Linked DNA regions of Rhinolophus ferrumequinum. The protein of the gene in region 1 interacts with the protein of each later gene in a pairwise test. Links are inferred from orthologs where the notes say so. Each region holds a gene or a part of one and is shown in the gene's direction. Other genes may lie near its edges. The genes, in order: DTNB, SPZ1, SNTG2 and PPFIA1.

Region 1 (7,557 bases):
TCCAGGCAGAGGAGGAAATGCGTGAAAATGCCTTGTTTAGGGGCCTGCACTCCCTCATCCCCATTCCTGTTTATTACCTTACAGGAGTCTTGGCCCTCCTGTGGTTCCATTAAGAAAATAACAAACACTGAGCTTCATGGAGAAAGCTAGCTAGGAGTCCTTCACAAAGGACTGTGGGAACCAAAAATTGGTAATGTGTGATAAGGGACAATTTCCCTCTAAATATAGAATTACTAGCCTGAAATTAGCTGCCAACCAGCCGTCTTTGAGTTCTTCTGACTATTCCAACTCTACCATTTGGGTTTAATTCCTGTTCACATACAGGCCAATGATAGTTTAACATTTCTCCCTTTATACCACTATCTAACTCTTCAGAAATGTATTTTTAAAATTATGGTACAAGAAATTTTACAGGAAAACAAAAGGAATTTGATAAATGTCTCTTGTATGTATCACTTCAACTTTCCTGGCTTTTGTCCGAAAACTTATCAAAGTGTAAAACTAACTCACAAAGTTAGAAAACTAACTTATCAAAGTTGGTCTCCTACCCTCCCACAGAGACGGGGAACCAGGGATCCTTCAGGTGTTTGCTGGAGCAAACAGTAGATTCCTTGGGCAGCCTTGAGCTTTCTCAGGCAGGGGCTTTATAGGGTCATCCCAAGGAGGTGGCCTTGAGCCCTTAGAAACTATGTCAGTGTTTGTTCAAGTCTTGCTAGGCCAGGATTGAGGCCTAGTTGAGGAAGGGCTCAGAGGAGCCGGACTAGAGTTTGGTGAAGGAGACGATTATTGTTACCCTCCAGATGCGTTTCCTGGTCCCTCGTGACTTTCCAGGCCCACGTCCCAGTCCTTCGAGAGCCTCGAGTCTGTCTGTTGCTCTTGGGAGCCCTCAGATACCTCTGTATTCTCATAATAAAATTTCCTGTATTTAAGCTAATTGGCTGGAATTCTGTTCTCAAAAGGAAGCCATCACTAAGACAAATCACTTTACCTGTATGAACACAACCCACATACTTGTCATTTTTGGTGCTTAAATGGCCATTCTTTCATGGTAATGTATCATAGCCTGTTTCACAATGACTTGGGTCATTTCCAGAGTTTTATGCTTATTGATAGTGACTTTTTTCCTCCTTATATAAGGTCAAAAGCTGTGCTGAGTTCAGAGCCCTTGTTACATTGCTGCCAGCTTCCACTCCAGCTTAAGTGCCGCCAGCCACACTTCAGGGCATCGATTTTCCCATAGCCCCATCTAAAGAGTTCCATTTTTATTTATTTTGGTTTGTGTAAGGATACCTGGGAGTTTCCTTGGTATTTTTCAATTGCGAATACAATTTTACGAGGTTAAATTAGATAACATAGACCCTAGCAAAGAGCCTGGCATATAGTAAGCTATTATTATGATTAACAGTGATTGAGTCAAAAATTGAATGTTGACCTTACATGTTGGTGTGTTTGTGTTTTTTCTTATGTATTTGTTGGGGGTTATTTCTCTTTTTATCCACTGGGTCTCTCCTTCTCAGCCTATGTGTTGCCTCAGGGCTGAGGCCTCAAGTCTCTTTTCTCTACTCGCTCTGTAAGTGATTTCATTTAGTCTCGAGTCTTTATAACTATCTGTATGCTGGCAACTCATATTCAGAGCTCCAGCGTGGACCTCTCTCCTGTACTCCAAACATATCTAGCTGCCTATTCAACTTCTCCGCTTGGATGTGGCACCTCGAACTTAACTTAAACTTAGCTTAAAGCTGAACTCCTGCTCCTGCCGAAAGCTGTTCCTTCCATTGCCTTTCCCATCTCAGAAAATGGCAACACCACCCTTCCATGTACTCAAGCTAAAAATGTTTGAGTCTTCCCTGACTCATCTTTTTCTTTCATACTCTACAGCCAGTCTCCAAGTCCTCTGGGCACTATCTTCAAAATACACCCCGAATCCAGCAAGTTCTCCCCACCTCCACAGTCACCACTCTGGCCACGACACCCTCATCTCTCACCTGCAAAATCTTCTAACCGGTCTTCCTACCATGTTTCCCTGGTGATAAGACCTACCGCGAAAATAAGCCCCAGTTAAGATCGTCAGCCAGATGGACACATTTAGTACGTTATGACAATGTTCCAGAAGAAGATGACGTGATTGTATTTGAATAAATGTAGATTGTTATACATGAAAAAATAAGACATCCCCTGAAAATACATCCTAATGTGTCTTTTGGAGCAAAGATTAATATAAGACCCGGTCTTATTTTCGGGGAAATACGTTACTTGTATGCTTGTCCATCCTCAACATTTCACCTTTGACCTTGGCCTTCCTCCTGGTCATGCGAAGCTTGCTATAGTCCCAACTTCATGGTGAGCTATAACAATGTGCAGAGGAAAAGAGGAATCCTCCAATAAGAGTGAGAAGACCATTTGCAGAAAGCTCTCCAGCAGAGTTCCTCTCACTTGCCCATCTCTAAACCAGTCACTGGTGAAAACAATAGGATTACTGGAGAAGACTAATCAGGCTTCTCCCTGAGTTGGAAATAGGGTTATCTTCTCTGACAACTGAGCCTCTGTTTGTTGAGGAAGAAATGGGGGAACACCCAAACAGAGTCTGCCATGATGTGGTAGGTCAGAGAGTCCATAAGAGTCCAATTACTTTTCTTAACTTGGTGTCAGTGGCCCTGTAGCCACAGGCCTTGGCCATATACAAAGACGAGGTCTACCTGACCAAAGAAGGGATAGGGTTGTGGCACGTAGCTTGGGTGTCTTTCTGCCAACCAGGAGATTCCCACCTTTCTTTCTTGGGACCTCTGTTGTGTCTGCTTGCTTGCAGGCCGTGAAGGAATTCACGAGTCAGGTAGAAATATAGAAGGAAGATTTATTAAAGTAAGAGAAAAGTCGACTGGGCAGAGTCTGCTGGAAACTACTGCAAACTACTGCATCGAGTCTTTGATCTCAAGTTTTATATTTTCTAACCAGGATGTAAATTGCTTTGGCCTATACTGGAATTTTCTGTTGATGTCTGCTTTGTCCATTGGGGTGGGAGAAGATTCAGTTAAGCTGATTATTGCAACCTTTGCATAAGTTATGTAGATTTAAATTGGAGCCAGGAGAGGGGATCCCATACAGATGCAAAACCTCTCCCAAGTCACTGGGCCAGCACTGGGCTGAATAGAAACATTGACACTGCATAGTAAATGTACAGGAAGCAGGAATCATTAAGAGGCAAAGAAAAGAAAGCTTTCAGAAAGTCCTAAGCTACATTACAGTTGTTAAATCAAATTATACCAGAGATCCAAATCTCAAAATAGAAGATTTAGTGCCACCATTACAATCCCCTGTCTTAACAGTCCCTTTATTTCAGCTTAATGGAAGAAGGTATTTACTTATTGTATTAGTATCCTAGGGGTACTGTAACAAATTACAACAAACTAGGGGCTTGAAACAACAGATATTTATTCTCTCACAGTTCTAGAAGCTAGAAGTCTAGAAATCAAGGTGTTGGCAGAGCCATACTCTCCCAAGGCTATAGGTGAAAATATGTTCCATGCCTTTCTCTTAGCTTCTGTCTCACCAATGCTTGGCCTTCCTTGGCTTAGAAGAGTGTCACTCCAGTCTCAACTCCATTGTCACATGGTCTCCTCCCTGTTTGTCTCTGTTTTCTCTTCTTCTAAGGACATAGCCATATTGAATTAAGGACCTATCCTACTCCAGTATGACCTCATCTTAACTAATTACATCTACAACTTCCCTATTTCCAAATAAGGTCACATTCTTAGGTCTGGAGGTTAGGACTTCAAAATATCTTTTTGGAGGACACAATTCAACCTGTAACACTTATATTTAATTAAAATTTAAATTCTCTTTAGTTCTTTTCCAATCTGCAAGTCTTATCTTTCATTTTCTTGCCTATTTTTCTGACCTATAAGCAACTATAAGTTGCCCTCTATGCACTGCATTAGCTGCATCCCATAAATTTTGGTATGTTGTGCTAAATTTTCTTTAAAAATTATTTTATGTTAAGGCTTGACTTGAATTTGCTATGTAGGTATTAGTTACTGAAGTTTTGAAGATAAAAAGAATGTATAAAATAGGTTCCTCACCTTTAATGAGTAAGGGTAATTTACTGAAAAATTTAATAAACTAGCAGCCATGAATTAAGGATGATGGTATTTTTAAAGAGAGTGTACGCTGTGTATTAACTTCCTTTCTTTTCTGTTAGTTGTTCATGCCTAGGTTGTGTCTTACCATGGTGCTAACAGGGCAAAGCTTGATTCCATTGCATATCTCCTGTCAGTTACTAAATCACAGATGCTGTGTGTAGGAGGAAGAAGCCTTAACAGACTTTATAATCTTAAGACTACATGTGAAATTTTCATTTCAGTGTATCCCTGTTTCAAGTTTTATCTGTGAGCCAGCAACTTTTTGTTTAGTTAATCGCCTCCATTTTACGGAACCATTTTTTTTTTTTCTGGCAAAAATTGTGTTTATTAACTGCCAGCGACTGAGACAGAGCATCACAATAGGGGATTGTGCCACGGAGCAGCTGCCGAACAAGGAGCAGGACGAGGGGTACATGTCCATTACACGCTGAATGCAGGTTGGATATGTTCAAAGTTGTACCGTCTCTGAGTGTCTGTCTTTGTGTTTATGTTTGTTTTTGCGGGATGTGGGTGTGTGTGTGTGTGTATGTGAATGAGAGAGAAGGAGAGAGACAGAGAGAGAGAGACAGAGAGACAGAGAGAGAGAGAGAAGTGCGCTCGTAAGTGCAGAGAAAAAAATGTCTGGAATCAGTCTCCCACAACTGCCCTGTGGAGTCACACGGGGGAGATGGAAAGTAGTGCTCTTCTGTGCAGAGACACCTGAACATACCTGGTTCCTGAGGTAAGTGCCTGGACACATAGGCAGAAATAGACCTTAGGGATATGTGTTAGTCATCCATGAAACACGAACACCTGACGGAATGTTAGACGCACTGTAAGAAGCATCGTGCTTAGCGTTTCACGGTGGTGAACTTTTCTTTCACTTGCTTGAGGCCTGATGGCCAGAGGTTCACAGCTTTGCATATGTTCATGAAAGGCCACCAGATTCTTCTTCATGTGATGGGCTCGTGTCACATCCGGATTTAGTCATCTTCCTTGGGGTCACTAACCTCTTCACAAACAACTCGGTTCTTTCTTTCCCGCAGCCTGTGGGCCCAGACACTAGACTTCACTTTGCTGGGTCCTGACATCTTCTCAGTCTCCTGACCAGAGGAACTCACTTCTCCTGGGTACACAGCTTTTTCGGAGCCGGCTCCGAGGCAGGCGTTACTGGTAGTGGCATCATATCATTTTCTTCCCTTGCCGGCTCCATGGGCTTCTCCTTCTCATCTTCTATCCATTGCACATCGGAAGCCTCTTGCGGATTTTCATCCTGATTCCTGGGGCTCTGATCTTCGTCAGAATCACTCTCAAGAGCATTTGTAGACTGATTTGGAGAATGCATGAAGTATGGGCAGTTGGTATTGAGACCTAGAAGAGTCATGTAGTCGTAGTTTCTCTTCATGTACACATAGGTTCTTTTCTGTAAGTCTCCCAGCTTTGCCCATTCTTTCTTAGAAAAGTTTTTGGAAATATCATCAAAGGCCTCATATTTCTCCTGTGATTTCTGGGCATCCTCTCTGTGGCTCTTTGCCAAGGAGCTGCCTCTGTCCATGGCGCTGGGAATGGTGCGATGGCCAAGGGACACAGCGCGAGTCTCTCCAGAACCAAGGCCAAAGATCCTCAGAAGTGAGGTGTCAGTGAGGGGTCGATCCCCGCAGAGATGAATAACCGCAATTCAGTTACCCAGGGACCTTCGACCACTCGGAATAGTTAGTGAAGTGGATTTGGCCCACTGCAAGTCAGGATAATACTGGGGAAGTTGAGGCAGGAGTGGGGTCCTTACGGAACCATTTTTAAGACCGATGGGTGGAATTCATTCAATGATGGAGTATTTATATTCTTAGGATTCCTAGAGGCTGGAGGAGATATAGGCTGAAAGGGAAGCATTACAATGAGACTACATCTTTGTCAGACAGTTTCCCTCTGACAAAGATGCTTGTCTCACCTCCACGCAACTCTCTTCCCCAGAGCATCCAACATCACTGTGGTATTAAGCCTCTTCCAGTATGCAGGCATTCCCCTGCGTATGTCTTGTTGGCTTTCTCTGTCCAACAGAGTCCTCCAAATCTCTTATGAGTCTCAAGAACCGGTATTTTCTCCTACTGCCCTCTTTCCCCAAGGAAAGATGATTCTGTTGTTTCACTGAGTTCACTGTAGGAAAACTTGACATTAAGGAGAATATTTTTTTTTCAGACTGTGTTTCCTTGCATAACAACACCACTTGTTTATGTAATTCTACCCAGAAGTGGCCGGCCCCTGGCATTTCTCTCCTGGGGTGTTTATAGGCTGTTATCACAGCTCCCGTCACCTTACAGGCTGTGAAAGGAAATTGGCACTTTCAGCCTTACTTCTCCCTCCATCCACATACAGGCAGAGGCTGAAAATCTATCGCTCTGGAATGAAGTATGGGATGAGGCATGAAGCCACTCACAGTATAACTGAACCAGAAATGGTCCCAATAAAAAGCCAGATTTTTAGCCCTTCACACCACTTAGCCCAGAGTGCATCTTCTCTTGCTGTCAGTAGAGCATCTCCCAACCTGCTGCTTAAGCAGCTGCTCAGGGGCTGCTCATCTTCACTGGCCTCTGTGTCAGGCCATTAACAAGCTGTTTAAACAATAACAGAACAGGCTGCGCTTGGAGCTGCCAGCCAGCCGGTCTATCGGGGACTTCACTGGGAATGTTTTTTGACCTTTCAAGGTTAGTGAATACTCAGCAGTTATATACAGTTCTGTTACTGAAGGTTGCAGTCCTGAGTATTGCTTATTATCTTATAATTCAGAGAAGAAAAGGGACAGTAGAAGAGTAGTTTTTAATAACTGTCACACTATAACACATTTTTAAAAATTTCAAAGAAACAAAGGTGGTCACCACTCTTACAAGTTTCATTTTTTGGCATATTGTTTAGTTTTTCATATTTGTATAGCCATAATGATGTCGATATTTTCTACACTTAATAATGCATATTATTTAATATTCTTTTATTAATATTTCCCTAAGTTTCTATACAATCTTTATGATAATTTTAATGACTGCCTAATTCATTGCATTGACGAGTATCACAGATGCCATACCATTTCCTTGCCTGTTGCATATTTAGATTTTTACAGGAGAAGTCATTTAGTTGAAGAAGGTGCCAGAGAATGTAGTGTTCCTTAAGGAGGCGGTAAGGGGGCCCACAGAAGGGTCCCACTGCTATGTGAGGGCAATGAGTACCTTTGGGATGGGTTTGTAACAGGATGCCAAAAGCAAACTACTCACCTATTTGATTCGAGACTAATCCTGGTACTAAGTACTTCAACTCATGCTTTATCTTTAAAAAAAAAAAAAAAAAGAAAGAAAAACTTATGTAAAGAAAAAGGTGCTGAGGCATGTACTATTTTTAGTCCTGCATGAATCAGATGGTGGCCTCTCAGGGTCCCAGAGCCAGAGCCCACTGG
Region 2 (5,764 bases), on another chromosome or scaffold:
TATCAAAAAACTCATCACCAAATACAGAGTCACACAGGTTTTCTCCTAAGTTTTCTGGAAAATTTAGTTTTGTATTTTACAGTTAACTCTATGTTCCATCTGGAGTTAATATGTTTGTAAGTTTGAGGTATGTGTCAAGGTTTATTTTTTTTACATATGGATGTCCAATTTGTGTAGCACCATTTATTGAATTGCCTTTGTATCTTTGATAACAATCAGTTGACTATGTTTGTGTGTGTTTATTTGTATTTTGTTCCATTGATCTGTATGTCTATCCTTTCACCAATATCACTATCTTGATTACTATATCTTAGAGTAAGACTTAAAGTAAAGTCATTTGAGTCTTCCTACTTTTTTTTTCTTTTTCAATATTGTTTTGGCTATTGAGGATCCCTTGAATTTCCATATGAATTTTAGGGTCATATTGTCAATTTCTGCAAAAGAGGCAGCTGGGATTTTGAGATTATGTTAAATCTGTAGATCAATTTGGGGAGTATTGCTATCCTAAAATCAAGTCTTCAAATTCATCAGCATGAGATGTTTTTCCATTGATTTAGATCTTCTTTAATTTCTTTCAACAATACTTTATAGTTTACAGAGTGCAAATTTTGTTAAATTTGTTCTTACATACAGCTGATTCTGGTTATGTGCAGTAATTATGTTATACAGTCGCTGCCAACATTGAATTAGGGAAAATAGAACTACTGCTTCTAAGGGAAATACACTGTTAAATTCTTGTGAGCCTCTGGTCACATTTTTGTTAGTCACAATGTAATTTGTGTTATATAAGTTTGTTTGCCAGCGACTTGGTAAAACAAGCCAGTCTCAGCAGCTTTGAAAAACTGCTCTTCTACATAACCCTTTTGCTGTATAACCATGAGCATATATTTAAAAATTCTCCCACAGCCTCCTGATCTGCAGAGCCTGCCTCCCCTGGAAATTTAACAAGTGAAAGACAGTTTGGGGAATATAATCAATAATGTAAAAATAAATAAATAAATAAATAAAAATCAATGCTTCATTATATACAATTCATGTGCAAGCTGTTTGTTTTACTTATTTCTCTTCTTTACATTAATCTACATAATTCCACTTTGAATTTTTAGCCAAAATAAATTTGCGTGTTACTTAAAAAAAGACAATAGGCTTGGACTCCTGCTCTATCTATAACCATTTGTAACTGTGGGAAAACACTCAGAATCTCCACTCTCAAACTCTGAAGAAAATAAGACTGTGGATGAGAATATCTACCCAGTTTCACTAATTCGAGAATTTAATAAAAAAAAAAAAAAAACACAAAAACGTTTGTGTAATAATTTTAAAGTCCACAGCACCATCTGGAGGTCAAAGGGAAGAAGACATGTTGAGGAGAAGGGTTAATATCCCTGTCCCCCTATGTCTGTATTTTGCTTGTTTGAATAAAATTTCACATTTTCAAAAAATTTCTCTTCTAAACTAGCTATACACAAGTACTATACTACATATAAAAGCAATCATATAAGTCATTATGTTTAAAATCACACCCTGCATAGAATCCCTTGTGCATGTAAAGACTAATCCTCGAATAGTCATCTGTAATCAGTTAAAACAAAACAATTGGACAATTAGAACAATTACACAAAATAAAAACACACCTCATTATACCAAAAGAATCCCATCATATTAAAATTATTTATACATATTTGAGCAATAAATGATAGTATTCATTATAACCCCTAAAATAAAATAAATACAGGAAAAAAGGCAGCTCTTCTTTACAAAATAATTCCAATCAAAAAATGTAAAAGGAATGAGAAAAATAGAAAATCACCATTAGCTCAGCACTGCAATAATCGTTGCAGGCAAGATCCACTCCTATATACTAAAATTATACTGTATAGGCAAAAGTTTGAGGAGAAACCGGATAATTTCAGCATCTCAAAATATCTCCCCCAAGATATTTGTTAATTACAAAGGGAAAGATAGTGACTTTATAGTGAATAAATCTAGCAGATATCCCTTAGTGAAATGACCGAGGTTAACATCACCAAAAATAAGACATATTGACATCATGTACCCTTTGATATCACTTATATTTTTGTTTAAGCAAACTGGTTTTGGGGAGAGAGAAAATTCTATACAAGTTTCATCTCTAATATTTTTAAAAACAGTTTTTGCATTTCTTTCTTAAAAGCCATTAAGCTACAGGAAACTTAATAGATAACAATTGTAAGACAAACCAGATGTACTTCATTTCCATAGTTATCTACTGGAAATATGGGTCAATAAGGAAAAGAAGACCACTCTGAATATCTTTTAGCATCTATAGCAAACTCAAATTTCAGTAAAGTTAATAGAAATATTATTTGAAACTCCATTATATCTGTAAGGAGGAAGAAAATATTTAAATCCTCTTTTGATGAAAGGAAAATAATTCTTTTGGTACCTTGACCCAGCTACTCTCAAACCAGTTTCCATAAAAATCAAGGGTAATATCAGATTTATGTCCAAAAGTATAAAAAAGCTGCAAGCACAAGAAGAAAATAGAGAATACATTTTCTTTTCAAGTATCCATGAAAAATATATGAACATTGATAATCTATTAGGCCAAAGAGAAAATATCAATTTCCAAAGGTCTAATATTATATTTTCTGATTACAGTACAATAAAGCTAGAAGTTAATATCAAAATCAGAAAAAAATAGAAAGTTTCCTCGTCTTGGAGGTTAAAAAACTATAATAAAGGATGGCTTGAGTCAAAGGGGAAATACCAACCAAAGTCAGAACTTATGAGATGGAATTAAAGCATAAGGGCAATTACTAGCCTCTATGGTATCATTGGGTGAATTGCAAAAGCTGCTCCCTGTTCAAGGGGAAAAAAAGACCAACACTGCTGTATCTGTGGATTGTCATGAGGCTATGGCTCTGAGCCAGCTGGCTGGGAGATGAGAATGAGGCTCAGGGAAATTTAAGCCAAAATGAGTCAGTAGCTGTGAAAGAAAAAAACATAAACTTTTCTTCTTTAAGGAAGAAAAGGAAAAAAAACCTGCTAGAGTATGAGTTTTCCCTTAAGACTGGAAACAAACATCTAGTTAGTAAAGTGATTGCTAACAAGATTTTGAAGGCTAGGAATGTGTTCTTTGATTGAACTTAATATTCACAAGGTAACTTCAGTTTCTTTTCTATAATATAACCCAGTATAGGGTTTAGCTGTTTCAAATGCTTTCGATACATTATGCCATTTTAACAAGTTCTTGTGAAAAGTAATGATTGAAGTTTTGTATCACCTGACGTAAAGGACTTAGGAGCACACTTAGTAAGCCTATCTTAAAGGATACAAAGCCAAGAAAAGTCCCAGTTTGTAATTGTGTTGTTAAGGAACCATTCACATGGTCTGTTCTTACTCAATAGAATATTTTTGAATGGAGCAATTCCTGACATTATTTGTCTAAAATCACAAAAAGATGAAGTACTTTGGGGGTTCTATTTTGTAAAGATAACTCTTTTACAGTAGCATCTCTCCTCCAATGGAAGCAATAAGTTGTCCAGGTGCTATGAAATGATGGGGAACGTCACCAGGAGGGCTCCTCTCAGCCATACACTTAGGAGGTAGAAAGACACTGCGTGTTAAGGTTGGGGTTGTGGGCGGTGGGAATGAGGTAGAAAGTCATTAAATACAGTTAGAATGAGATGAGTAAAAACCTAGGAAAGTTAAAAGAGGAAAACTGGCTAGAGATCTTTCTGGAATGAGGAGTAGGATTAGCCCAAGGTTGATTTTGATGCAAGAGTCACTCACTGGGTGGGGGGTTAAGAGGCTTCTATTGTGACACAAAGGAAACAGAAGCTGGGGAAGACCTGGTTGCTAGGGTCAGGGGAATAAACACCAGAAGCCTGGAGGAGGAGAGATGGGGCCCTAGCTCTGGGTCCTCTCTCTCACCCCCCTCCCCACTCCGTTGTCTGCGATGTCACCTTCCACGTGAATATCATCTACATGGTTTCAAACCTTAACTCTGGTCTCTAACTTCTGCTTAGTTCCACATGCTCTACCCATTTGCACAGAGGACTATCACCTCTCCTTCCTGGAATCTCTAAGGTTTTCTGTTTTCCTTTTGCCCTGATCACCTGCCCTGCTTACTCAGCTGAGATGGAAGTGCCCACCGTCTCTGAAACTCTTAAACCTACTCCTAATCTCAATCAAGAATCTTTGGACCCTAAGATTGTCATTGCCTTACTTGGATCAACTCCTCCTGTCTCCTGGAGTTCTCTTCTTTCCCTAAATAATAGTTGCCAACAAGAAACTGAACAACAGACTGAAAAGAAGTTTGAAAATCTCTTAAAAGAAATTAGAGATATTCTTAAATATATGACAGGTTATGAAGACAAGATCACAGAAGCAAAAGAACTTTTTGAGGAAACCAATATCTTTGAGGATGTGTCAGAACTTAAAGAAGAAATCAGAGGACTTGATAAAATAAATAAAGTGCCATCAGAAAACCTGCTTGGCTGTTTATATGTAGACAAAGAACACAGGGCAGAGAAACAGACGATGACATTGGAAAACCAGAACTCAAAGGACACAGTGCAAGGTTTTGCAAGGAATTTGGTAAATCATTCAGGAAAAAGAAGAGCTTGCAATGAAACTCAACTACATAAGGAAAAAGCAGAGTATGGATTCCATCACGTTCAAGAAGAAAATATCAAACTTAGGAACAACATGGATCAGTTACTACGGGAAGCAGAACGCTGGAGTGTGCAACATACGGAGCTTTGTGGACTAATAAAATCATATCAGAAATCTCAGAAAGACACAAGAGTAACTCTTGAAAATCATGGAGTCCATTTCCAAACTCAACAGAATACTGAGGTGTCAGCTAGTTATGAGCGAGAGGCACAGGTGAGGAAACTGAACCATGACATGTATTCATTGCATTTGATTGCAGCTTTGCTGGAGAATGAATGCCAAATCTTACAGAAGAGAATAGAGCTTCTCCACCATCTCCATCATCAGAAAGACGGAACTGTGCAAGAGAAGCCAATTCAGATAAACTATGAACAGGACAAGAAAGAACAGAAGCTATCAGAAGCAGAGAAGGTAGAAAGGTCTAAGCAGAAAACGCAAGAAATGGAAGGTACGTTTCAGAAAAGAGACAAATTCTACAGAAGCCTGGATGCTTGTCATAATAAGAAAGTTCGTAAGAACAGTTTCAATACTCGTATTGCAAGAAGAGTTCTTGTGAGAAGAAAGAGGCCAGCTAGTACCTAAGATAGAAAATACAAAAAGGAGAAAAAAAAGGCAAAATTTTTCAAAAAACTATGATTCATCCAACTCCAGGCATCATCAATCATCAAACCTAGAGTAGATCTGTTGGTTCAACCGAGAAAGAGCTATAGAATAAGATTAACATTATTTGTTACCTCAGTAGTTACATAAGTTTGGTCTTTAATGGCTGTTAGTGTCAACATCAAGTTCATAACTTGTCACCTTTACAATTGGCTTGTTTTGGTAGTTATTAAATAGACATCCCTTGACACTTTAACCAAAAGTGTGAAGTTACATGTCCAATTTAGTAAAGATCTAAATAAAGACCAGAATAAAGGAAAGTTTCTTTTTATTTAATCATGACCTGGGGTGTGGGGGCGGGGAGGTGAAGTTCTGGGGGAAAAAGTATATAACAATTTAATTGTGAATCTTCAAACCTCATTTTCTAAATGTAAGTTCCTTTTTCCTATTATCCAATGAAGTGTGGGAGGTAGTGGAGTTAAAAAAAAAAAAAAAAAGCTGTTAA
Region 3 (7,671 bases), about 16 Mb from region 1:
GGCTTTCTGGCTGGGACGGTAGCTCAGTAAGTGTGGCTTTGGTCACGCAGTCCAGGCTCCTGCCTGGAGTGGGGGTGGGAGCTGTGCTTTCAGCCTGGCGGCTGTCGTCCCCGAGGCTGGTGCCCACATGTTGCTAATCTGCTCCTCAGAGTGCCTGAGGGCGCAAGGGCACAGAGGCCAGGGGAGCGAATGACTTGGGGTCCAGAACCCTGCCGGGTGCACGCGGGCAGCACTGGGAAGCAGCCAGGGTCACGGACGAGCTGGAGGGCGTGGTGGGCAAAGGAGCCGGAGTGGAGAACTCTGCCCCCCGCAGGGGCCTCTGTGAGCACAGTGGCCACGGAGCTGAGGCTCCAGGAGGAGGAGCCATCATCGGTCATTTGCTTGGATTTCATCTGAGGACGTCGCGTCCTTCCTGAGGGACTTTGTCCCAGCCACAGCCCCTGCAGGAAACCCGAGTGCCTGCCAGGCGTCCCAGGTGTCCCACGTTATCAGGCGCTTAGTCCTGCTTGTTCTTGGTTGCACTTAGGCTATGGCGTGTGTCAGTTTTCCTTAGAAATTGGTCCAGACTGGATTGAGAATGGGGAGAGGTGACATGAAAATGTTTGTCTTGTCCCTGCAGGACACCTCCTCCCTGGGGCCTGGAAAGTGGGGAGGGTGATGGTGTGGAGCCGTGTGTGACAGGACAGCAGGTGACACAGGACCAGTCTTGGTGTGACTAGGAGGCGATGCAATGGGCTGCCCTAGCCTGGTGGGCGACACCTGTCCTTGCTTGTGGCCGGGGGCAGATGTTTTCTGTGAGCTGCATTGTCACTGAGTGTTTGGCATTTTAAAGGCGAAACTTTATCAAATTCGTGCCTTTAAGAGAACAAAGGTTTTCCCCTTGTTTTTGGCTAATAGCATACGCTCATGCTAATGGGAAAAAAGACAAGAACGTCCTGATTAGTGATGGAAATGGGACGTGCAGGCCCTTCCCTGAGCTGAGGGGCCTCACCATCCTCGTTTCCTGCTCGGGTCACAGGGACTCTGCTCTCTCTCTGTGGAGACCACAACCAGCTCCCGCCCCTCTGCTGAGCATAGCCCACCTCCTGTAGCCGAGCTCCTGTCCCAGGCGCTCATCCCCACCCCCTGGGCCACCTCCGACCTGCATCCTGGCCACTTGTCCTGCCATGCGTGCTGTCTCATCTGAGTTGCCCCTGCTGCAGCTCTCGGGCCGGCCTCACCTCCGGCGGGTGGTGTTCCGGGCGAGGGAGGGACGGGTCCTTTTGTAAATGCTGAGGTTATGGCACCGGGACAGCAGTTTTCAGTGTTGGACCCCGGTGTCCAGCCTGCACGTCCAAAGCTTCTCTCATGATGGGTGAGTGTCTGGTCACCTGGAACCTCAGCCTTGGGCTCGGACACATGTCATCCTAGCCTCCTGCGCCCTAAGCAGAGGGGCTCTTCACGCTGCTCTAACCTGTACACCATGGACACCCTGTCCTTTGCCGCAAGCGCTGCTGCCAGGATATGAGTGTTCTCGCTGGAATCAAAGGAGAGGGCAGTAGAGTTGGTGTACGGTAACTCACTGGGCTTGTTTTGGAAACGTCCTCCTAAGTCAAAGGAAAAAGTGGGTGCACTTTTCCTGGAAAGTGAGCTTAATGAAGTTTGTGTTCCTTTTAGAGACATCCTATAGGCTGAACTTACTCCTCAGCTTGTAACTTACTAGTGAGCAAGTCTGCTTTTGAGGTGAAGCCGTCAGCTCGTTCATTCTTGCAGGCTGAGAGGAGGTGTCTGCCATGTCCCACGGGAGACTTGGGGGCCCTACACCCTGTCACAGTTCGCTGGCCTCTTCCCCTCTCCTGTTCACTCGAGACTCACACCAGCCAGACACTGACGCCGACAGACACGGCATGCTGGGAATTTGCATGTCCTTGTCGGTGACCCGGTGACCCGACAGGTCAGGTCTGGAGACGGAGCCCATTGACAGCTTGAGGAACTCGAGCTCACGTCCCTGTGAGTCTAAGGGTTACCGTCTGGGTTTCAGGGGGAAGCCAGCACCTCAGACGGGGTTCAGTCCTGAAGTCGTGTGTGGCTGTGAAATAGTCACATGTTAACGGAAGCTCCGGGGAAGAGGGAAGGGAGGATGGAGATTTCTGTTCTGTAACATTTGAAAAAAGTAACCTGTGGCTTTATTCCAAATCGATGAGCCTCTAAGGCTTTCTGTGCCCCAGTGGACCTGCTGTATCAGGATATTTGCGTTCAGGAACTCACTGAGTCCTGCTGTATTTTCTTCTCCACAATCCTCTTACGGCTTTGACTTAATCGTGAGCTGCGACGTGAGGCAGTCTCCCCCTTCCCCCAAAAGCCCCGTCATATGAGCCAGCCCCAGAAGGTACCTTGGAGCCTGGAAAACGTGTCTGCCCCACGAACGTCCGAACAGCACCAGGCAGGGTGGTGTCCCGGCCGCCTGCAGAGTGGTGTCTTCCTGGGGAAGCGGTGGGGGGGCGGGCTGCTTCAGCTTTCCCAGGAATCCTGAGACCAGGCAGCGGCTGTAAGAACAAGCCCCTTAGTTCTTCATAACCATCAGCGAGTGAGAGACGCTGCACAACTCACGCTGCCCTTCGCTGCAGTCGGGGAGGGAACTGACTGCTGTACTGAGGCCGTCAGGGAGGGGGCAAGGGGTGTCCTGTGGCTCCCGGCTGTTCCTGGCAGGAGCCAAACACAGTGGTAACTGGCTCAGCCAGGGTGAGTGTGTGGGGTGAGCCGGGCGGGGGAACGAAAGCACGTCTGAGGCTGTCCTGCAGAGCACAGCACAATTTATTGTGTGCTGGACTGAAAAGCAAACAAATGACTTTTTATGAAACAAAAAAACTTCTGCACTCGCAGAAATAAGTAAGAAGCAGAAAACACGTAGAAATCAAATTAGTGATATTGAGAAAACTATGATTTCTAAGAATACAGAGGAAAAGAACATACACAATTATGAGAAAAAAGAGATATGGAAGATAGAACAAATGATAGAAAAAAGTGATGAGATTCTTATTGAAGAAATTAAAGAAATGGAACAGAAGCCATAATCAAATTGCAATTACAAAACTTTCTGGATACAGTGTTTATTTCTGACACCTTCAAAGATACACGACTGACATTGGGAATATTAATACATGTTAATGTATGTTGCGTTGTGTAGGGGACTTTGGATAATGACCTGACCCATCACTAGAACACACACACAGTAGTCTCACTGCCCTAACCGTCCCCTGAGCCCAGCCGGCTCATCCCTGCCCCCCCAACCCCGGGAACCACCCATCCTTGTGCTGCCTGCATGGTTTCGCCTTTTCCAGAATGTCGTAGAAAGGGGTCATAGGGTATGTTGCCTTTTCTGACTGGCTTCGTTCATTTATTCTTTCAGCATTTAAGGTTCCTCCATGTCCTTCATGGCTTGAGAGCTCATTTCTTTTTACCTGAATAATATTCCATTGTATGAATGTGCCACAGTTTATCCATCACCTACTGGAGGGCATCTGCTTGCTTCCCAGTTGGGGGAATTAAGACTGAAGTTACGTTAACATCTGTGTGCAGGGTTTTGTGGACGTAAGTCCTTAACTCCTTTCAGTAAGTACCAAGGAGCGTGGTGGCTGGGTCATATGGTTAGACCGTGTTCAGTTTTGTTGGACACCAGCAAACTCTCCTCCAGACGGCTGCTCCATTCCGCGTCCCCAGCAGCAGTGACTGAGGGTTCCTGTGGCTCCACGTCCTGCCAGCACTTGGTGACGTCAGGGTTCTGGATTGTGGCCCTTCTGATAGGTGTGTGGTGGGGTCTGGTCGTTTTCATTGGCGTCTCCCTGATGACACAGGTTGTGAGCTTATGTGTCACCTGCATGTCTTCTGTGGCAAGGGGTCTGTTAAGGTCTTTGCCTCATTTTTTTAATTGGGTGGTTTGTTTTCTTGTTGCTGAGTTTTAAGAGCTCTTTGTCTATTTTGGATAACAGCCCTTCTTCATACGTGTCTCGCACGTATGTTTTCTCCCGGTCTGTGGCTTGCCTTCCCCTCCGACGGTTCTTCCACAGAGCAGACGTCTTTACTTCTCATGAAGTTCAGCTTCTCAGCTGCCTCTTCCATGGTCGTGCCTTTGGGGTCGGATCTAGGAAGTCGTCACCATGGTCACGGTCATGCAGGTTTCTTCCTGTGTAGCCTTCCAGGAGTTCACAGTTTTGCATTTCACATTTAGTTCTCTGATCCATTTTGAGTTGATTTTCGTGAAGGGCAATGAGGTCTGTGTGTGGATTCATTGTATTTCACGTGGCGTCCAGTTGTTTCAGCGCCATTTGTTGAAGAGACAGTCTCAGCTCCTTGGTCAGAGGTCAGTCGACTGCACTTAGTGGGTCTAGTCCAAGGCTCCAGAGGCATCGAGTGCCACTCTGGTGAGTGACGTCCTCACCAGCCAGTGAGGTTCTGTGTGGGGGGCGTGGACCCACCTCCCTTCTCCCGCCAACTGCTCTCTGCCCCTCCCCTCCTTCTGCCCTGACACTGCCCGTCTGTGTCCTCCACTCACCATGCCCTCCTGCGGCCCCTGGGCACCTGCGGCCTCTTGCTCTGCCCAGAATTGTCTGTCCTCCCCTCCTTCTCAGGTTCCTTGGAGGAGCCTCTCCTGAACGCGCCGGCCAGGCCACCCCAAACCTTTGTTCAGAGGCCCTTTATAAACGGCGTGTGTCTGCGGCTCTGCTAGTCACTGGACACCAGCCTGGATGGGACAGCAGTGTGGCTTCTCTGTGACTCACGCTGACCACGCCTGCTTGTCACTTGGTGGACGCTCAGTACAGCTGGCTGAATACATGATAGGATGCGGACTAGTAACAAGGGTTTTCAGGACATTGACACAGGACTATGGACGAGCGTCAGGGGAGAGGAGTTCCAGGTTTGTGGAGCAGACGTTGCTGTGGTCGCTGAGAACCGGGTGATGAGAACCGGGGCCCCCTGCGTGTGGGGGGCTGGGGGCTGGACCCCGACTTCAGGGCCAGACACAGGCGGCCTGGTGGGCAATTGGAAAGCACAGCAGCCGAGTCCTTAGCGCCTGTGTTTTACTAGAGGTGACACTGTCATCGTTTCAGGTTTAGTGACGCGTGAAGAGAAGCCCGGATTTCTGTGCATACTGTTCAGCCTCCTCTCAGATCTTAATCTGCGTGGTTTGGCCTGAGGGGAACGTGAGGGCGCAGGACGGCCTCTCAGAGAATTTCCAAGGAGGCCTGAGTCATGCAGGCTCCCGAGGCGGCTGCTGGAGTGGCAGCTGAGCTCGCACCGTGCGTGGGCTGTGATTTTCGTCCTGGAAACTTCCCGAGTCAAGCTCTGTGCTTAGTGTGAATCTGGGGAAACATGACTTTTTCTTTGTACTTAGCTTCTTAGTTATTTCTCAAACGAGTGCCTATAAATCGCTCTGCTTCTCGCTTTCATTTAGTCCTAGTGCAGACTGCATTGCAGAGCCCTGAATTCCCAGGGAGACTCCGCACTTAATCAGTGCCAGTCACGGCCCACATTACTTTGTCGAGGATGCGAGCTACTGCAGAGCAGACGTTGTTGGAAACGAAACTTTGCCGAATAGCAGTGCCCAAGCACAGTCCCCTAAACAATGCAACAACGTGAAATTTTAATGTTTTAAAAAATTATACCTTGTTTGTTTTTAGTAGCGCTTGACGTTACTGTCATGTGACAGAAATCCAGTCATTAGTCTGTGCGGTCCCAGGGAGTGATGTTCGTAGGGTTTCAGTTTCAGTTTTCACCACTGGCGTCTTTAGCCTTTTGTTACTAACTGAAAATAATTGTCGTCCTTGCCGTAAAGCTGAGAAAATTTTCTCAGTAAACAGAATTTGATGTGATCATCAGCTCGCTTTATACTCAACTGATTTCTGACCAGATTTTCTCTGTGCAGACAAGCTGTATGTGTTTCACCTCTGTCAGTACGTTTTTATTCTGTCGCTCACTTGGTCTTTGTGGTTAAAACGAAGGCTGATGTGCTGCGATTACTGTAAAACTGTCCAGGGTGACGTAACTCAATACTAAACTCGGGTCTTCACTTATTCTTTTAAAAATGAAGCTGTGTTGTTTCGTAACATGCTTGACGTTGCGGTTCAAAGGTCACTCCTTTTCTAAAGACCTGACGCACAGCCAGGCCCTCACACAGACATGTCACGCCACTTGCTGACAAGACTTTCATTCTTTCGACTGCTCTCAGTGGTAGTGACGTGACATCACCCTCCTGACCAGCTTCTAGTTACTTCTACGTTCTCCTCGTGACGGCCGTTTCGCCCGAGCGTCTTACACGTGAGTGGCAGGAGGTGGAGAAACTAGGGAGGGCTGGCTTCTAATTTTCAGTTTTGCTGCATTTAAAATATGGCCAGTGTCAAGCCAGTCAACCCCCGTGGCTCAGTTTCTCCAATTGTAAAAAGAGGAAGCGGTGTTAGAATCTTGCAAAAGTTCTTCAAGCTCCAAAATTCACACGTCGGCTTGGAGATGACGTTACAGAGATTACTCAGCCAGAAATGGAAATGTCGGCTATCATCATGCGAGTTCCCTAAACACATCTTACATTGTCAGTTCCTAGAATCATGGAGTGACATCAGGCTAAAACAGTGCTGCTTAATCCTTGGGAGCCTGCAGGTCTGAAGGGGGTGTGTGTGGTGTCTGGACCGTGGCTCAGCGGTAGCATGGCAGTGCACTTAGTGGGTCCGCGTCTGTTTGGGGACACGCTTGCTTTCTCAGGGCTCTTGTCACGACTGCAGCAGCATTTGAGGTGATGTGGACACATGAGTGACCTATCTCTGTCTTACCTGTTTCCTCTCCACAGGAAGACCACTGCACTTTATCCCCCCCACCCCCCCACCCCCCAAAAAACCAGTGACAGAAAAGGGGCAGCAAACTTGCCTCTTCCCCATGTTGTCATCTGAAATGGGGATAGGGAACAGGACCGCTTTCTGAGCCGGGAGCCAGATGTGTGTATGGGCCCTGCTCACACCTGGGTGCCCAGTGGGGCAGGCAGGTGCCGTGCGCCCAGGTAGGGGTGGCTCGAGCGCACAGGCGTGTGAGCGTGACCTGACGGTGGGGGTGTCACCTGCGTCCGTGCTGTGACGTCATAGATGTAGTTTAAGGCTCAGGGCGGTGTGTCCAGGAGGGCGCGTTTACTAGGGTGTGAGGAGCCGTGTCTACCATGGCCTCAGAAGCAATGACAGGCTGTTGGGCCACGGTGATGTGAGCACGTCACTGTCCATCACGTGGGGCCACGCGCAGGTCCCTGGCGGCGGCTACGCTCAGATCAGACCTGGTGTTCACACTGCACGTGCCGACGTGACCCCCTCTAGGACTTGGTCCCAGCAACAAGGAGAGAAACTTGAGTACATTTTAAGCTGTTGAATTCCCTCTTATTTGGAACTGAGCGTTTTGTAACGATAAGGAAACATTTACAGTCATAGTGTTTAATATGAAAGGTCTGTAGAAGAAGGAAAGATGTTCTAGGCTCAGCCAAAACACCAAAATATTTCAAAAAATGTAAGCGTGAACCAAGTTTAACCTATGAGAAGATTCCTAAGTATCCTCCACATTATCGGTTGTGCCACGACTTTATTGTCAGTGGGTGCCAGGACCGTGGACGGGACCAGAGGTGATTTCAGACACGTTTTATTCGTTTCACTGCCGCGTTCTCCT
Region 4 (7,504 bases), on another chromosome or scaffold:
AGGGGTTTGGTCCCCAGCCTTGGGGGTCTGGGGACACCTTTGGATGTAGCATCACGAACCCTGGCTCTGGAGCCCGTCTTGGGTTCAAGGCCCAGCTTCTACCAAATCATAGGCTGTGGGGTGTTGGGCGGGTTATCTCCTCTCTGCAAGTCTCAGTGTTCTCCACAAAAGGAGGTGGGATCGAATGAGGGCTTTTCTGTAAAATGCTCTGCAAATGTGTTTTCTCATCCATGTTCTCGGGGATTGACACACACCACGCTCACTCCCAGCAGGCTCATCGGTGGTCCAAACTTTCAGTTACCTGATTGACCATGAGACATAGAACTGCCTTGGAAACTGGGATACTCAGGCTGATGACCCCCCTGCTTAGTGGCCACTCTGACCTGTTTCCTCGTCTGCAAAATGGAAAGATACAGGAAGCCACGTGGGGAATTAGTTTGAGAATTAAATGAGATGAATAAGTAAAATGGTAGCTCTCTTTCTTTCCCTTTCCCCTCATTTCCCGACCCCCCACCTTAGCAGGGGTACACGGCAAACCCAAGCGGGGTGGACTCAGGAACTAGGCACCCTCAGTTCACTCCAGGCTCCAGTCCCATCTCTACCCCAAGACAGTGCCTCTGGGCAAGGCCCTTTTGCCTCTCTGGCTTCGGTCTCTTCCTCCTAAAGGGAGGGCCACATCTCCCACCATCCACCCCCACACTGCTCTCCCAGCTCAGAACTTCCCCCAGTGTCATTGTCACGCCACCATCATTAGGTTGCTTACATAATCTAGATAAACTCGAGACACATCCGCATCTCTATGACACACTCTGATCTCACAGGAACCCTCCTCTGTGGGTTGCCTACCTCTCTAGAAAGGAGAGGTGGCCGGGTCATACCCAAAGTTGACAACTGACTACATCATCCAGAGCCGAGGCTGGAAGCACATTTGTGAAGACACAACCCTGGGCATAGTAATAAACTCTACCCCTCACCACCCATATTACCTTATTTTCTGTACCGAAACTTTAACAGAAGAATTAGATTCTCTTCTGTTTTTTTTCCACGTTCATTGTCTTCCCGACTGAAGCTTATAAGGAAGCCTCCCAATCTCTGCAGTGTTGTTCAGAGATAGTTTAACTGGGTGGTATACATAACGACACCTAAAAGTCATTTTAGCTTCCTGAGCAATTCTCCATGGTTCATTCTTGCCTAGTTTTTATTAAAGTACCACTTGTGGGCTTTTTCCCCCCTAATAATAAAAACAATGCACATTCGCCATAAAGTATCTAGAAAGTACAGAGCAGCACAAAGAAGGACATGAAAACTACCCACGATCCCACCCAAAGACAACCAGTGCCAACATCCTGATGTATCTCTTTCCAAGAATATATATGTATATGTTTGTATAGAGAAATATAAAACACTAATATCTTCACATATAGATGTGAACAATATCTTCACATATAGATGTGTATGTTTTTCTTTTACAAATTTGAGACTTAAAATTTAATTTCACTTTCAAGAATATTTCATTTCATGTAAAACTCATTTTCTGAAAATTCTATTATTTTGATTAATAACATTCTAGAGTTTTTAATGTACAAAGTGAATTTTACATAATACATGCTTCATCTAAACACAGACTGCTTGCTTTTTTGAATTTGGGCTCATTGTATACAAGGTGTGATCAAACAATATGGTGACTGTCTAAATAAAAGAAATTATTATAGTAAAAGACATATTGCCATTAATCCCCTTCAAAATACTCCCCCTCGCTTCAAACACACTTATCCCATCATTCTTGCCACTTGCTGAAGCATTTCTGGAAGTCCTCTTTAGTGAGTGTCTTTAGTTGTGCTGTCATGGCTGCCTTGATGTCCTGAATCATTTTGACTTTGGGGCAGAGCCAGAAATACGGGAAATGGCACATTGAAACTTAGAAACAGTGTGTGGCAAGTTTCAACTTGTTCGGTGTAATCAGTCAGATGTGAGCTACGGTTGAGAGAAGTTGTGTTTTAAAGTGTGCCATAAATCATCCTCCATCATGACAACGTTCTGTCACACATCGCTTCTGGAATATGACAATTTCTGTCAAATAAAAACATCATAGTGTGTCCTCATCCACCTTATTCACTGGATCTGGCACCATGTGGCATCTGGCTCTTCCCAAAGTCAAAATGACCATGAAAGGAAAATGTCTGAATCGATTCAGGACATCCGGGCAGCCATGACAGCGCAACTAAAGACACTCAGGAAAGAGGACTTCCAGAACGGCTTCAGAAAGTGCCACGAAGGATGGGATAAGTGTGTTTGAAACGAGGGGGAGTATTTTGAGTGGGATTAATGGCAATGTGTCTTTTACTGTCATAATTTTTAAAATTTAAACATTCACTGTGTTGTCTGATCACATCTTGTATACTTGTTTGTAACTTGCTGTTTTTAAGAAAGTTTTTTTCCCATTTCTAAAAAATAGGACACACTTTACATGGTAAGGTAGAATTCTGTGGTTTCCATAAATGCATATGTCTTGTAACCACCACCACAATCGAGATACAGAATTTTGCCTGTCATTATTAGCTGGTTATCTAAAATATAATTGTGAACGTCACCAAGCTTTCTGTCATTTGGAAGTGCAATGATTTAACCAATCTCTTATTGTTGGCCATTTAGGTGGTTTACCATTTTCCTCTTAGTGATTTTGCGATTGGGGGAGGGGAGGAGGAATAAATGAATGAATGAAAATAAGTGAAATCTGGGATCTCATTTCCCTGGAGCTACACCACACGGGCTTCTCCCTTCCCTGCTGGGGAAACTGCTCATCCTTTGAAAACCAGAAAGATGTTTTCTCCTTTGCGAAGCCCCGGTGATGCCAGCTGGAGAGTTTGTTCCTCCTTATTCTAGGGTCCCACAACACCAGTCACACAGGGTTCATAGGACAAACATTGCAATAGTCTGTTTCTCTTCTCTCTTCCAGGCTGTGAACTGGTGGGAAGCGATGCCTTAACTCTGTGCTCCCCAAACCTCGGCCATGCCTGGCTCAGAGTGCCCTCCAGACATTCAGATGTAAACGAACATTCTACCCTGTTGAACTAAATGTTGGTATTTTGTCGATTTCTTAGGAGACAGGTACTTTAGGAGCATGGTGCAAATACGAGCTGGATGAATTCAGCGGGTACATATTTGGAGAGCCGGAAACTTTCCTCTATTTCAGACCTTGGGTCAGGGGTGCAAATTCGTATTGATGTGTAGTCACTCAATAAATCGAGAGTGAATGAATACATGAATGAAAAAGGTGTGGTCCTGGACTCCGGGAGGCGAGAAAGCCAATCAGAGGTAGCACCTGGACTTGCTGGGCTCACAGTGGAGAATCAAGGAATCCAAAGGGTTCACCCAGCCTTCCACGCAGCCTTTCCTTAAACTCGATTAGTTCAGGGGCTCCTGGCTGCCTCACCACGGACCGCCGGACAGTGCCCACTGGTGCCTGGCAACAGTGCCCTGACTGGTTTGTGACAGGTTTGTGCTCCAGGAGTCAAATCCGGAGGGCGGAGCACCTGTTTTTATTTATTAAAGCTGTATTTGTTAATCTCTGTATCTGCGGCATCTAGCACAGGACGTGGCACACAGCTGATGTTTTCAAAAGCTTGCCTAAGTGTGAATATGCGTAAAAATGTTTGAGTCGGATGAAAACGACTACCATTCTACACAGCGCCTCCCCAGCCAGGTTCTCGACTAGCTGCTCTTTGCATATGTTCTGTTTTTGCTACCAGCCCTGGGGTAGGTCTGTATCATTTTCCCACCCTAGAAATGAGGTGAATCCCAGACGAATTCCCCTCGGTTGCCCAGGCACACATCGCAGGGAGAAGCATCTGCTGGCAGTTGAACCAGGTGTGCCTGGCTCCAAAGCCTGCCCTCTCGACCCTGCCCCCGAAGCCCCAGCATCAAACGCTGCCCGTCTCTGCCAACCCAGCAGGTAGAGCTCGGCCAATGGGTCTTCGTAGAAACCGCGTCCTTCCGAGTCCTCATGGCTCAGCTCCCAGGAGGCTCTGGAGGTGACACCGCGGGCTCCGACCTGTCGCTAGCCGGTGGCTTCCCCCCGGGCGCGCGCCCCCGTAAGGTGTGTAGACGTGACGTCGGGCAGGTGTCTGGCTCAGAACCTGATGCACAGTAGACGCTCAGTAACGGCTTTGGCGTCCCCGCGCCGTGGGTGGAGAATTTGGGGAAGCCCAGAGGTGGAAGATGCGGACGGCGCACGAGGACCAGAGCCCGAAGCCACTGCTGGGCCGAGGCGACCGCACACAGGTGGGGCCTGGAGGGGCGGGGCTCCGGCCGCGCCCATCCAATCGGCGCCCGGGAGGCGCAGCCCACCCACCTGTGGAGGCGGCGCTTGCGCAGTCGGCAGCCGCGGCCCTTTCCCCGTCGCCCCTCCTGGGGGGCGGGGCGGGTCGGCGGCGCTCGGCGCTGACGCTGTGCCGTCGCGCCCGACGTCGGGCACGTTGACGCCGGCGTCGCGCAGCCGGGCCCGCTCCTCCTGCACTCCGCCAGTGTCCGGCCGCGGGCCGGCCTTAGTGACTGGGGGCAGCGGGCCCGGGGCCGCGGGCGCGGGGCGGGCGGCGGGCGCGGGCGCGGGCTGCCTTCGTCGGGCTCCAAGCTCGCCCGGAGCGAGCGGCCGCCCGCGAGCCGCCGCGGAGCCTTCTCGCCCGCTCCCGCCGGCGAGCAAGGTAAGGCAGCGGGACACTGAGGCAGGCTCGGGGCGGAGCGGAGCCCCAGGCGCCGGCCCGTCCCGCGGCGGCTGCGCGGCCGATTCCTGTCAGCGCGGGGTGAAGGGTGCACCCCGGGGGTGGAGGGCGGGGGCTGGCGACGAGGCCCGCGGCGCCGGGCCCGGTGGGAGAGCTCTGCGAGTGCCCGGGACTCCCGGACGACGCGCCCCTGCCCTCAGGGACGGGCTGTTGGGACCGCCCGCTGCCCCCAACCCTGACCCTGGCGCCCGGGTGACCCCGGCGCCGGGGACAAGCACCTGTGGCCGCTGGAAGCCCCAAGCGAGGCAGCGCTGCTGTTGTAGGTGGTTCTCACCATCCTGGCGGGGGTCTGGGGTCTCTGCAGCGCCAGGGGCGGTGGGAGTGGGTGGAGGTTACCGCCATCCGGTGCGCGGTGTCGGGCATCTCCCTCTCGGGGGTCCGCCAAGCCCGGGATACCGCCGGCAGCCTCAGGAACCGGCTCCCTTGCTCCTCGCCCCATCGTTATAGATGAGACACTTAGTCGCCTCTCAAAATCTCATCTTTCACTTTTCCTTCCTTCCTCGCCGTCCACGGCTGTATCGACCGTCTCTGTTTCCATTGTGGAATTTTTTTTTTTTTTTGCTCTGTTAACTTACATAAGTTAGGTTGTCTGACCAACCACTACAGCCGTTGAAAAACTCCTCTCCCAACCCTTAACGAATCCAGTCCTTTTAGGGCTCCCCAGACCCAGCCCGAGCCTTCAGGGAGCCGTCAGTTCCTCCCAGGGGCTGACTGCACACATTCCTGTAAGATGCCTGATGGATTTTGTACTTGTCAGTTTTACTGGCTGTATGCGCCTTCTGTGCTTTGCCTGAAAAGTGATTGGGTGGCACGTGTTTTGACTTTCTCTCCCCCACCGGGAAATAGGAAAAAAAAATAGGTTACAGAAGCACACTTGTTTTCAACAACTAGAAGTACAGCCCTGCAAACAAAATACCAAGGGTTTGTTCTTTATGCGAGGGGTAGTCTTTGGTCTTTATCCCTTCCTTGAATTATTGTCTGTCTGTGTCTTCCTTTATCTTGTATGTTCCATCACCTAGGATTTGCGTGTGTATGTTTTCCCAGCTTGTTGATGTTCAGGGCATCAGAGAATAAAGAGAATAAAGAGGTCGTCAGCCTTTCATTTTTTTTAGCTACAGATGGCTGTAAATTTGCAGAGTTGTGGGAGAGGCACTTAATAACTGTAGTCTGGGTCTTTCGTTTCAAGATGATGTGCGAGGTGATGCCGACCATCAGTGAAGCAGAAGGCCCCCCAGGAGGAAGTGGGGGCCATGGGTCCGGCTCCCCTTCGCAGCCAGACGCAGATTCACATTTTGAACAGTTGATGGTCTCCATGCTGGAGGAGAGGGACCGTCTTCTTGACACGCTGAGAGAGACTCAAGAAACGCTGGCATTAACCCAGGGGAAATTACACGAGGTTGGTCATGAAAGAGATTCCTTGCAGAGGCAGCTCAACACTGCACTTCCACAGGTATGGATGCTTTTCACGGGCAGCTTTACACTTTTTTTTCCACTAATTTTTTTTTATGGTGTCGTTTTCTTTGGTGTTGATATTTTAGATGAGTATTTTGCACAATCATTTGTGAAATGGCTCTGGCATTTGTACGTCAGTCACGTATACATGAAGGTCCTGAGGATTACCCTTAGGGAGAACAAACTCTGTGGTCCTCTAAAGTTGTGTGAAAACACCTCATGACTCGCGTTCCTTTCTTCGAGGCAGCAGAAGGAACTGCCTAGATTTGGGATAGTTCTCCAAAGTTTTTGAAAATGGGCCATGAAGCAGCTATGTGGTACCTTTCGATTGTTGTCTTAAGGCATTTTGTGCTAAACGTGTATGTCCCATGGATTGTATCTTGTATTTCCAGTTTCCTAATGACATTCAATGGACAAATAGGATTGGTTTCACAGGAAAAATATTTTTACAGCCTACCTTCGTCAGAACACCTGTGTTTTGTAAATCAAATTTGGTTTAGGGACTAGAATACTGGAGATGGATTCCTTTGTAGCCTTCTCCTTGGCAGATGAGAATTATAAAGCTTAGAATCACACTGGAGTTGTTAATGTAAGTATATTACGTCTGGCCCAGTGTTTCAAAGCCTTTTCTTATGGAGCTGAGCGAGGATTTAATGATAGGTGAAGGGAGAAAGTGTCAACTGAAATGTAAGGTTAATGGCGCAGAGCATAGTGGGAGACAGGAAGGGTACTTGGGTGTTTATGAGCTGTCTAGGTGCCGTTTTACTTATTCATAAGAGGTGCCTTTTGCTTCCAGGTAGACCTGAAGAAGCATACATTTATAGTCTCCTGATGGGGCTGCAGTGGCAGATTAGTAAATGAATAATTACTAGCCTTGATGCGTTTCTTGGCTTTAGTCAGTCCTCGTGAAAGATTGATAAGCCAAGCATTTGGATTTCCTTTTTAGCAACAATAATTTGATGTCAGTGCAATAATGTTCCCTTTTTTGGATTAGAGAATCATTAAGAGTTTTCTCATTCTTATTTTCTAAATTACCAAGTTTGTTTAGGTCACATTTTATTACAAGAAGCTTAAAAGGATTGGCCAAATTGTGTTTTACCTGGATTTTATTGTGTTCGTAAATCTTTTCAGTTTTTGTGTGTGTGTGTGTGTGTGTGTGTGTGATTATATTTGTTTTAACATAATTCAAGGAACATATAGTCAAGTATAATCAAATAGGCATTTGATAAGGTAGTTTTTTGAAAGAAGGAGCACAGGACATAACAAGAAAGGGA

The links.
Region 2: the proteins of DTNB (region 1) and SPZ1 interact in binary tests that used the Homo sapiens proteins (3 or more experiments, as listed by UniProt). The two-hybrid records come from large-scale screens. The link is inferred for Rhinolophus ferrumequinum from reciprocal best matches to the Homo sapiens genes DTNB and SPZ1.
Region 3: the proteins of DTNB (region 1) and SNTG2 interact in binary tests that used the Homo sapiens proteins (3 or more experiments, as listed by UniProt). The link is inferred for Rhinolophus ferrumequinum from reciprocal best matches to the Homo sapiens genes DTNB and SNTG2.
Region 4: the proteins of DTNB (region 1) and PPFIA1 interact in binary tests that used the Homo sapiens proteins (3 or more experiments, as listed by UniProt). The link is inferred for Rhinolophus ferrumequinum from reciprocal best matches to the Homo sapiens genes DTNB and PPFIA1.

Annotation. Positions count from the first base shown.
Region 1 is NC_046296.1:54,567,579-54,575,135, forward strand, and holds the start of DTNB (dystrobrevin beta), read left to right. Parts: upstream 1-4,554; 5' UTR 4,555-4,573; intron 4,574-5,098; coding exon of another isoform or gene 5,099-5,285; intron 5,286-5,377; coding exon of another isoform or gene 5,378-5,670; intron 5,671-7,557. Other genes in the region: protein SSXA1-like, read right to left, coding at 5,099-5,285, 5,378-5,670.
Region 2 is NC_046290.1:51,735,251-51,741,014, forward strand, and holds SPZ1 (spermatogenic leucine zipper protein 1), read left to right. Parts: upstream 1-4,119; 5' UTR 4,120-4,122; coding exon 4,123-5,241; downstream 5,242-5,764. UniProt on the Homo sapiens protein: Transcription factor that binds to the DNA sequence 5'-CANNTG-3'(E box) and the G-box motif. May play an important role in the regulation of cell proliferation and differentiation during spermatogenesis.
Region 3 is NC_046296.1:70,931,695-70,939,365, reverse strand, and holds the start of SNTG2 (gamma-2-syntrophin), read left to right. Parts: upstream 1-4,670; 5' UTR 4,671-4,819; coding exon 4,820-4,894; intron 4,895-7,671. UniProt on the Homo sapiens protein: Adapter protein that binds to and probably organizes the subcellular localization of a variety of proteins. May link various receptors to the actin cytoskeleton and the dystrophin glycoprotein complex.
Region 4 is NC_046294.1:3,075,932-3,083,435, reverse strand, and holds the start of PPFIA1 (liprin-alpha-1), read left to right. Parts: upstream 1-4,482; 5' UTR 4,483-4,700; intron 4,701-5,964; coding exon 5,965-6,228; intron 6,229-7,504. UniProt on the Homo sapiens protein: May regulate the disassembly of focal adhesions. May localize receptor-like tyrosine phosphatases type 2A at specific sites on the plasma membrane, possibly regulating their interaction with the extracellular environment and their association with substrates.